2 linked regions of the Canis lupus familiaris genome follow. The protein of the gene in region 1 interacts with the protein of each later gene in a biochemical or structural test. Links are inferred from orthologs where the notes say so. Each region holds a gene or a part of one and is shown in the gene's direction. Other genes may lie near its edges. The genes, in order: COX4I2 and CYCS.

What was found.
Region 2: the proteins of COX4I2 (region 1) and CYCS form a complex in vitro, tested with the Homo sapiens proteins (4 studies listed by BioGRID). The link is inferred for Canis lupus familiaris from reciprocal best matches to the Homo sapiens genes COX4I2 and CYCS.

Annotation. Positions count from the first base shown.
Region 1 is NC_049245.1:21,625,086-21,628,995, forward strand, and holds the end of COX4I2 (cytochrome c oxidase subunit 4 isoform 2, mitochondrial), read left to right. Parts: coding exon 1-90; intron 91-1,074; coding exon 1,075-1,206; intron 1,207-3,334; coding exon 3,335-3,471; 3' UTR 3,472-3,576; downstream 3,577-3,910. UniProt on the Homo sapiens protein: Component of the cytochrome c oxidase, the last enzyme in the mitochondrial electron transport chain which drives oxidative phosphorylation.
Region 2 is NC_049235.1:38,664,239-38,668,148, reverse strand, and holds the start of CYCS (cytochrome c), read left to right. Parts: upstream 1-1,625; 5' UTR 1,626-1,751; intron 1,752-2,832; 5' UTR 2,833-2,840; coding exon 2,841-3,009; intron 3,010-3,133; coding exon 3,134-3,282; 3' UTR 3,283-3,910. UniProt on the Homo sapiens protein: Electron carrier protein. The oxidized form of the cytochrome c heme group can accept an electron from the heme group of the cytochrome c1 subunit of cytochrome reductase.

The DNA of each region.
Region 1 (3,910 bases):
TCTGCACAGAGCTCAACGCTGAGCAGCGGGCCCTGAAGGAGAAGGAAAAGGGCAGCTGGACCCAGCTGAGCCATGCTGAGAAGGTGGCCTGTAGGTGTCAGGGTGGGGCTGGCTGGGGAGAGTGGGCTGGTGGTGACTTTGAAAAGAAGGGCCCCCACCTAGGGCACCTGGGCAGCTCAGTCAGTTAAGCCTCTGACTCTTGATTTCAGCTCAGGTCATGATCTCAGGGTCATGAGATCAAGCCCTGCATTTTCTTGAGATTCTCTTTCCCTCTCCCTCATCTTCCCCCTCTGCTCCTCCCCTACCTCTTTCTTAAATAAATAAGTAAATAAATAAAGCCTTAAAAAAAAAAAAAAGAAGAAGAAGAAGAAGAAGGGCCCCTGCCCAAGACAGCCAGAAATCCCAAAACATCTAAATGCATACCTGAGGGATGAAAGTCATCATTTGCTCATTTATTCTTTTATTCAGTCAACTATTTGTGCACAGCCAGATGCTAGGTGATGCTGGGGACACAGGAGTGAATCACCTTGATGGTTCTTGCCCTCAGGGTGCTCCCAGCCAATGGGGGAACTGACATAAACCCAGAAAACTGTAATACAGGCTTTGTGGCCAGGGTGAGGTGTGTCCAAGGGATTGTGAGGACACTAAAGAGAGAGAGATGGAATCCTGGTAGGTCTCCCAGAGGAGGGCATGTGCTGGCTGGCCTTGAATGGTGAGGAGGAGGGTGTTGCCTGGTAGTGGCAACAGCATGGGGAGGGATATGGAAGCAGGAAAGCATGGAGCATCGTGGACATCACTGAGTGGTGCAGGGAGATGGAGCAGAGAGGCAGTTAAGGTGGATGGGAGGGCAGGGACCTGACCCTGGGAAACAGGAAGGATGTGTCCTGCCCAACAGAAATGCCCGTAAATAACTCCAAGTTTTGGAGCCTGCTCCTGGCCAAGCTTTGCATACAGTAGATGCTCAGTAAGAATTTGCTGAATGGGCAGCATCTGCTGCAGGAGGAGGAGGGCCCAGGGTCCTTGGAATGGATATACCCAAGGCCCTTACTTCCCCACAACCTCATCTGCCTCCAGTGTATCGCCTCCAGTTCCATGAGACCTTCGCAGAGATGAACCGTCGCTCCAACGAGTGGAAGACAGTGATGGGCTGCGTTTTCTTCTTTTTTGGATTCACAGCTCTGCTGATTTGGTGGCAGCGGGTCTATGGTGAGTGGCAACACCTCACCTTGCTGCAGTCCTGGGCCATGCCCTTGTGGTCAGAGCTCTTATAAGCAAGCTCTTATAAGGCAACTATGCTGGCACTTATCTGAAGAGTTTTGAAAAGCCCCCCAAAGAGTGTAGGGTGAAGGGCAGAGCATGGCTGCCTGGGTTGGGACGTAGAAGCTTTACCTCTCTGGGCCTCAATTCCTTCATCTATAAAATGAAAATACTAGTGTCCGCACCACAGTGTTCTTGTAAGGAGTTAGTGAGAGAGAGAGCTGTGAGCCAGGGCCTGGCACATAATCATGAATGGTGCTCTTGCTGATTACTGTTATTAATCATTACTTTTTCTGTAATAAAAGTCCCCAACATATAAGAGCTTAAGCAAGACACAGGTTTTGTTCCTCTCACAGACCAGGGAGAGTATGGAGACTCTGCAGTGTCAGGCTCCTTTGGTGGTGCCATTCTTCACATGCAGCTTCCTTTCTTGCCATATAAGATGGCTGATCCAACTCCAGCCATTAAAGCCTACATTCCAGCCAAGAACAGGGAAAGGGAGGATGCACTCCTCTTTAAGATCCAAAAGTTGCATACATCCCTTCTGCTTACCTCTTCTTGGCTAGAAATGATCACATGACCATGTCTAGCGGCAAGGGAAGTTGGGAAATATAGTTTTTAGCTAGATGGTCACATCCCCTGCTAACTGCTTATGACTACAGAAGAGTGATTTCTCAGTGCGGTCCCTGGACCAACGCCATCATTTGGGAACATTTAGAAATGCAAATTCTCAGCCCCAGTCCAGATCTACCAGGTCAGACACTCTTAGGGTGGAGCCTAGCAATCTGTTTTTTTTTTTTTAAGATTTTTAAAAAGATTTATTTATTCATGAGAGACACAGGCAGAGAGAGAGGGAGAGAGAGGCAGAGACACAGGCAGAGGGAAAAGCAGGCTCCATGCAGGGAGCCTGACGTGGGACTCCATGCCAGGTCCCCAGGATCAGGCCCTGGGCTGAAGGCGGCGCTAAACCGCTGAGCCACCCGGGCTGCCGCAATCTGTGTTTTAATGAGCTCTCCAAGTCATTCTGATGCCCACTCAGCTTTAAGAAGCTCTGCTCTGGGAGAAGGGGAGAGGATGCTAGGAAACAGCTGGCAGGCTGTGCCCCAGCTCTTCACCTCTACTGGCCTCACCTTTCTTCTTCTGTAAGAGTGTCATGGGAATTCCTTTCTTGCGTGAGGATGAAATGAGGGAGCCTTTGGGAAAAATTCTAGTTTACCCCAGTGTTTGGTGCTGGCAGGTGCCATAAGGATCTTTTCCTTCTTTCCTATCCACCGAGATAGAAAGTACCAGTGAGGAGGTCCGACAGGCTGAGTCAGCCTCAGGGACCAATGGACCAGGGAGCAAGGTATGAGCAGTGTGGGGAGCTCCACTGCCATGCCTTCCCTGACTCGCACATCAAGGCACCTAAAATGCCTCTTGAGGGCTTTCAGCCTTTTAGTTAAGTACAGCCCTCCCTAGATTTTTAAGGAGGCCTCCCTTCCTCACCTCCTACTTCCAACCCTCTAAGGAAGCAAAAAAAACAAACTACCCATCCTGGGCCCTTCCCAGTCAGTGGGAGCAAACTTAGTAATTATAGTAGTTACCATATATTAGGTACTTAATATCTGTCCCACATGGTACCAGTTGCTTTACACATATTAACTCACTCAATCCCTACAGCCCTAGTAGATAGGAATTGTTTTTGATGGGGAAGGAAACAGGCTCAGAGAGATGAAGTGACTTGTTCAAGGTCACACAGCAAGGGAGGGTGGAGATAGGATTTGGATCCAGGCCAACTTTGAATCAGTGCTCCTATTCCATTGGACTTTAATAGTAAGGAAGTGGGCTCAGAAAGGGGAAGGACCTTAGCCCAATTTCCACAGTGAGTCTAAGGCAGAGCCAGGACCATAATACAGAGATCTCTGGAGTGAAGCTTTAGCAGGAAGTCTGGTGTGGGAACAGATAGGGTGGATAGGGTGGAGTATCTTGGTGCAGGATTTCCTAACCCTGTGCCTGGAGACCCTGGCTCAGGGGGACAGGGTGGAAGACTTTCAGGGTCCTGAGCCATCCTTGTCCCCACCCCTTGCCTTCCCTGCAGTGTTCCCAAAGAAGCCCATCACCCTGACGGATGAATGGAAGGCCCAGCAGCTCCAGCGCATCCTAGATATGAAGGGTAACCCTGTGCAAGGCCTGGCCTCTCGGTGGGACTATGAGAAGAAGGAGTGGAAGAAGTGACTGGGCATCCAGGTTGCCCTCCCTGCAGCTCCACCCTGGCCTAGAGCGTGTGGGGGGAATTTTTCTCTTCTTAACCCCAATAAAGCTGGCCTGAGCTCTTCTGTCTTCAGTTTCCACCTCACTCTTCACCTGCCACAAACCCTACATGATACCTAAAATTGAGCAGTGTGGTGAAGGAAGGGCAAAAATAAGCCATTTTCCAGGGGCCCAGAGCCCAGCCAGTCAGGGAGGGCTTCCTGGAGGAGTAGGGGCTAGGGCTTAGTCTTAACGGATATGTGGCATTAGGAAAGGGAGGACACTCCTTTATATAGTCAATTATTTTTCCATAATTAAGATTAAAGATTTTATTTATTTATTTGACAGAGAGAGAGCACAAACAGATGAAGTAGCAGAGGGAGAGGGAGTAGCAGGCTCCCCGCTGAGAAGGGAGCCTGATGTG
Region 2 (3,910 bases), on another chromosome or scaffold:
CGGCATCAATAATGTTGGTAGAAGGAAAAACCTAAGGCATTGCTTTGTCATAGTTACACCCCTTACCAGCCACTATCAAGCCTACGGGATAAGATGGAGGTAGACGGAACAGATGCAACATAGAACATAAAACCGGGGGAAAAAAAAAGATAAAATAAATAAATAGAATAGAATAGAAAACCGAACTGCAGAATTATCATTGTTCTCAACTAATTCCCTCAGGTATTGTGAGTAAACTGCAAATACTGTGTGTCTCTTCCAAACTTGAATACATAGATATTATAAAACATAATAGGTGTGATTTCTGTTTCACAGGATGCTTTTGTGGCCCTAGTGTGTGCAATTAGAGGAAACTCGAAATCAGGACGTAGAAAACAATAAAAAAATAATCCGGTCGTATAGAGAGATGGATGGTCTGGAGCAGAAATCATGGTACCCGTGGTCTGGAAGGGGTGTAAGGTAATCTAGTTAAGTTTACTGCTTAACTTGGGAGTAGGAAGAAGATGGCTAGAATGTAAGCTCCACCAGAGAAAGAGTCCTCCACGATCTACTCCAGGTAAATAATATGCATTCAATAAACACTTGTGAATGAATAACGGCAGTGCTAGAACACGAGAAAGGAGGGGGAAAACCCATTCACAACTCGGGGGCTGAATTAGCGGGGGCAAGGGAGTCCAGAAAAAATATTTGCCAGGGACAGAACCGAGCATGTCTGGAAGGAGAGCTAGTTCTGGAGGAAAAGGATGATCCCCGGAAGCTGTGGTTATCAAACCTGCCTTTGTCATATGACCCCAACCGCATTACATCTTACTTGAACAGGTCATTCGGCCTAGGTTAGAGGAGATGCAAATCCTCTCTAGGTTTCCAACAATGCTCTAGCCCCTTGACAAGGCTCCTCGCTAGCGCCTGCACATCCTCCTTGTTCCGCACAGAAACGCAAGGGAGACGGGTGTCGGCGGAAAAGCCGGCAGCTGTGGGGCCCGAGCTACAATCCAGCTTCCGCCGCAGCTACGGCAGCTTCCCTGCGGCAGACCCGGGGTGTCCGTCAAGGGGGGGATGTCGAAGTAGCAGAGTGAAGGCGAAGCGGTACGTCGGGAGCTCAGGTCCAACTCTCACAACTCCGGGTTCCAGGCGATGCTTTGGGGTGCGGCTGGCGGCAGCCGCGAAAGCAGGACAGAGACTGCGGAAAGGCCGCCAGCTGCACGGACAGCAGCCAGGAGGCCTCTACGTGCGTCAGAGTTGGGGCGTTCCCCTCCCGGCAGGCAAAACGCCCCCCCCGCCCCCGCCCAAAGCGCATTACGTCAACAAGCCCAAGAGCAGTTACCTTAGCACAACAACGCCCTCCATCCACCACGCGACTCCGCTCCACCCTCCCCTTGGGGATACGCATGCGCAGAAAGGCAGGACGGCGACGTCAGCCCTTCCCGGCACCGCCTCGTTGTCGTACATCCAGGGGCCTGTCGTAACTGCCGGCGGGAGAGCAGAAGGGCACCCGCGCGGCACACCCTACCCTGCTGGCCGGCCTCCGCGCCGGTCGTTAACGCAGGCCCTGGAGACTGAAGCCAATGAGGCGCGGTGACGTCACTGCGTAGCAGGCCGCGCAGCCGCAGGGCGGGCGGCGAAGGGACGGATCGAGTTCGGTTGCACCGACACCGGTACTTAGGTGCGGAGCGGCGTGTCCTTGGACTTAGAGAGCGGGACGTCCGGCTTGCGAGCGGGCTTCTTCGTTTCGCGCGCGCGACAGAAAGGCGGTGAGCGCCGGGCGGGAAGCCGCAGCACGGGGACGCGCGGCTGTGTCGAGGGGTGCGCGCCCTGGCCGAGGCCGGCGCCCGGGTTCGGCGAGTGGGGCGCACCTGGGGCGGGAAGGCCAGGGGTGACCCCCCCCGCCCCGCCTGGGGCCGGCCAGAAGCCGGTGGGCTACGGCTGGAGACGGGGCGGCACGCCGGCTGGGACGGGGAGTGGGCTCGATCAGGGCCCTTAAAGCCCGGAAGCCGCCTGGATGCTGATCCAACCCAGACCGAGGCCCGGGGGTCTCGTAGCCGGGGCCCAGGGGCTGTGGAAGTGACAGACTTCCCGGGATGAGGGCGGGAATGTGGGGGGCTGCGCAGCGCCCCACGGCCTCCTGCAGAGGCGGCCGGAACTACCGCTCCTGCAAAAACGAGCCCTTTTTCTTCCGAGTCACTTGTCGCTTTTCCCCCCTTAACCTGCCTAGGCATCTCGGGAAGGCAGGTGCCCTCCGTCTCCTTGAAAGCCTGATTGGGTGACCTCGTGGGCGTCTCCAGAGAGCCCAGAGCTGGAGGACGGACGGATGGGAGACCTCCCACCCGCACCGCAGGGCCGTTTATACCGGCCCGAGCAGGCTGTTAGCAACCACAGGACTTGGGTTTTGTAAATGTATTTTCACTGATCAGAGGTGGCTTCACATTGCAGTCTGATTAAATAGGCTTTCTTAAAAGCTGAAAGTTTTGGTAGTTTGGTAGTTTTGGTTTAATGTAATCATGGTTTTCGACTTGACTCAGATTTGTGACTTTCTGTGACCTTGACCTCAAACTTTTGAAACCGTTTTTGAACTAGGTTCCCACTTTGCTTACTTGGGCTTTAGTTCTATCACTCGAATACACATAGATGTGTATTTAGGGAAGTCGTTCCAGCTAGTGGTTTTTGGTACCTAGAGAGCCAGTCGCCAGCACACTAAGTAAAACCAGATTCGCCCTGGTGATTAATACTCTAGATTTGCAATGGGTTAGTAATTCAGTCCCTGGAGCGACCACTGGTTGGTTTTCACTGGATTTTTACTCGGAGGAAAAAAGTAATGGAGTCTTTCATTTTTAGATTGAAAAATGGGTGATGTTGAGAAGGGCAAGAAGATTTTTGTTCAGAAGTGTGCGCAGTGCCATACTGTGGAAAAGGGAGGCAAGCACAAGACTGGGCCAAACCTCCACGGTTTATTTGGGCGGAAGACCGGTCAGGCCCCTGGATTTTCTTACACGGATGCCAACAAGAACAAAGGTAAGGGTCTGGGAGGTGGGGGATCAGTTATTAAATAACAGAAGCACAATTTCATGAATATAACCAATGGTAAGCCCTTTATCAGGAGTGTAAGATACTTAACAATACGTCCCTCCTTGTTTAGGCATCACCTGGGGAGAGGAGACCCTGATGGAGTATTTGGAGAATCCCAAGAAGTACATCCCTGGAACAAAAATGATCTTCGCTGGCATTAAGAAGACAGGGGAAAGAGCAGACTTAATAGCTTATCTCAAAAAAGCTACTAAGGAGTAATAGTTGGCTATCGCCTTATTTATTACAAAACAAAAATGTCTCATGACTTTTTTTTTATGTGTACCATATTTAAATTGATCTCATTGACCAGAATTCAGATCATGAGTGGCTGATAGAAGGTTTCTCTTGGACAGTCCTGATTTAAATAAGATTGGCTTGTGGTTAAATGAATATGATCAGTTTTTTGAACTTTGATAGTAATTCTGGTTCAGCAAGTGCTCTCACTGTTTTCCCCTTCTAAAAAATATGATTGGAATTGATTAGAGATGTGTAGCTTTTCACAGAGATGGTAAATGCCACCTCTAAATTTATAGATTGGTTTTATATTTAGATTTATATAACGGGTTATATTAATATATTTAAATACTGAGGAAATCCCTTCACTCTCAGAACAGCAAGACTCAGCTGTGTTTCAAGTTGTGTTCCCTAGCCTGTTAAAGGCAATGGCTGAAGATAAGCTGGCAGTGTCCACTTTATCTTTTTGGTCTTAACTATGCCAATTTAATTAAAATTCTTTGCATCTAAAATGTTGCCTTTTGCTAATTGAAAGGCATTTTAGTGTGGTTTGTGCGTAATATTAAAATTTTAACACTTGGGTTTTATACACCTGTAAGGTCAGACGCTTTTA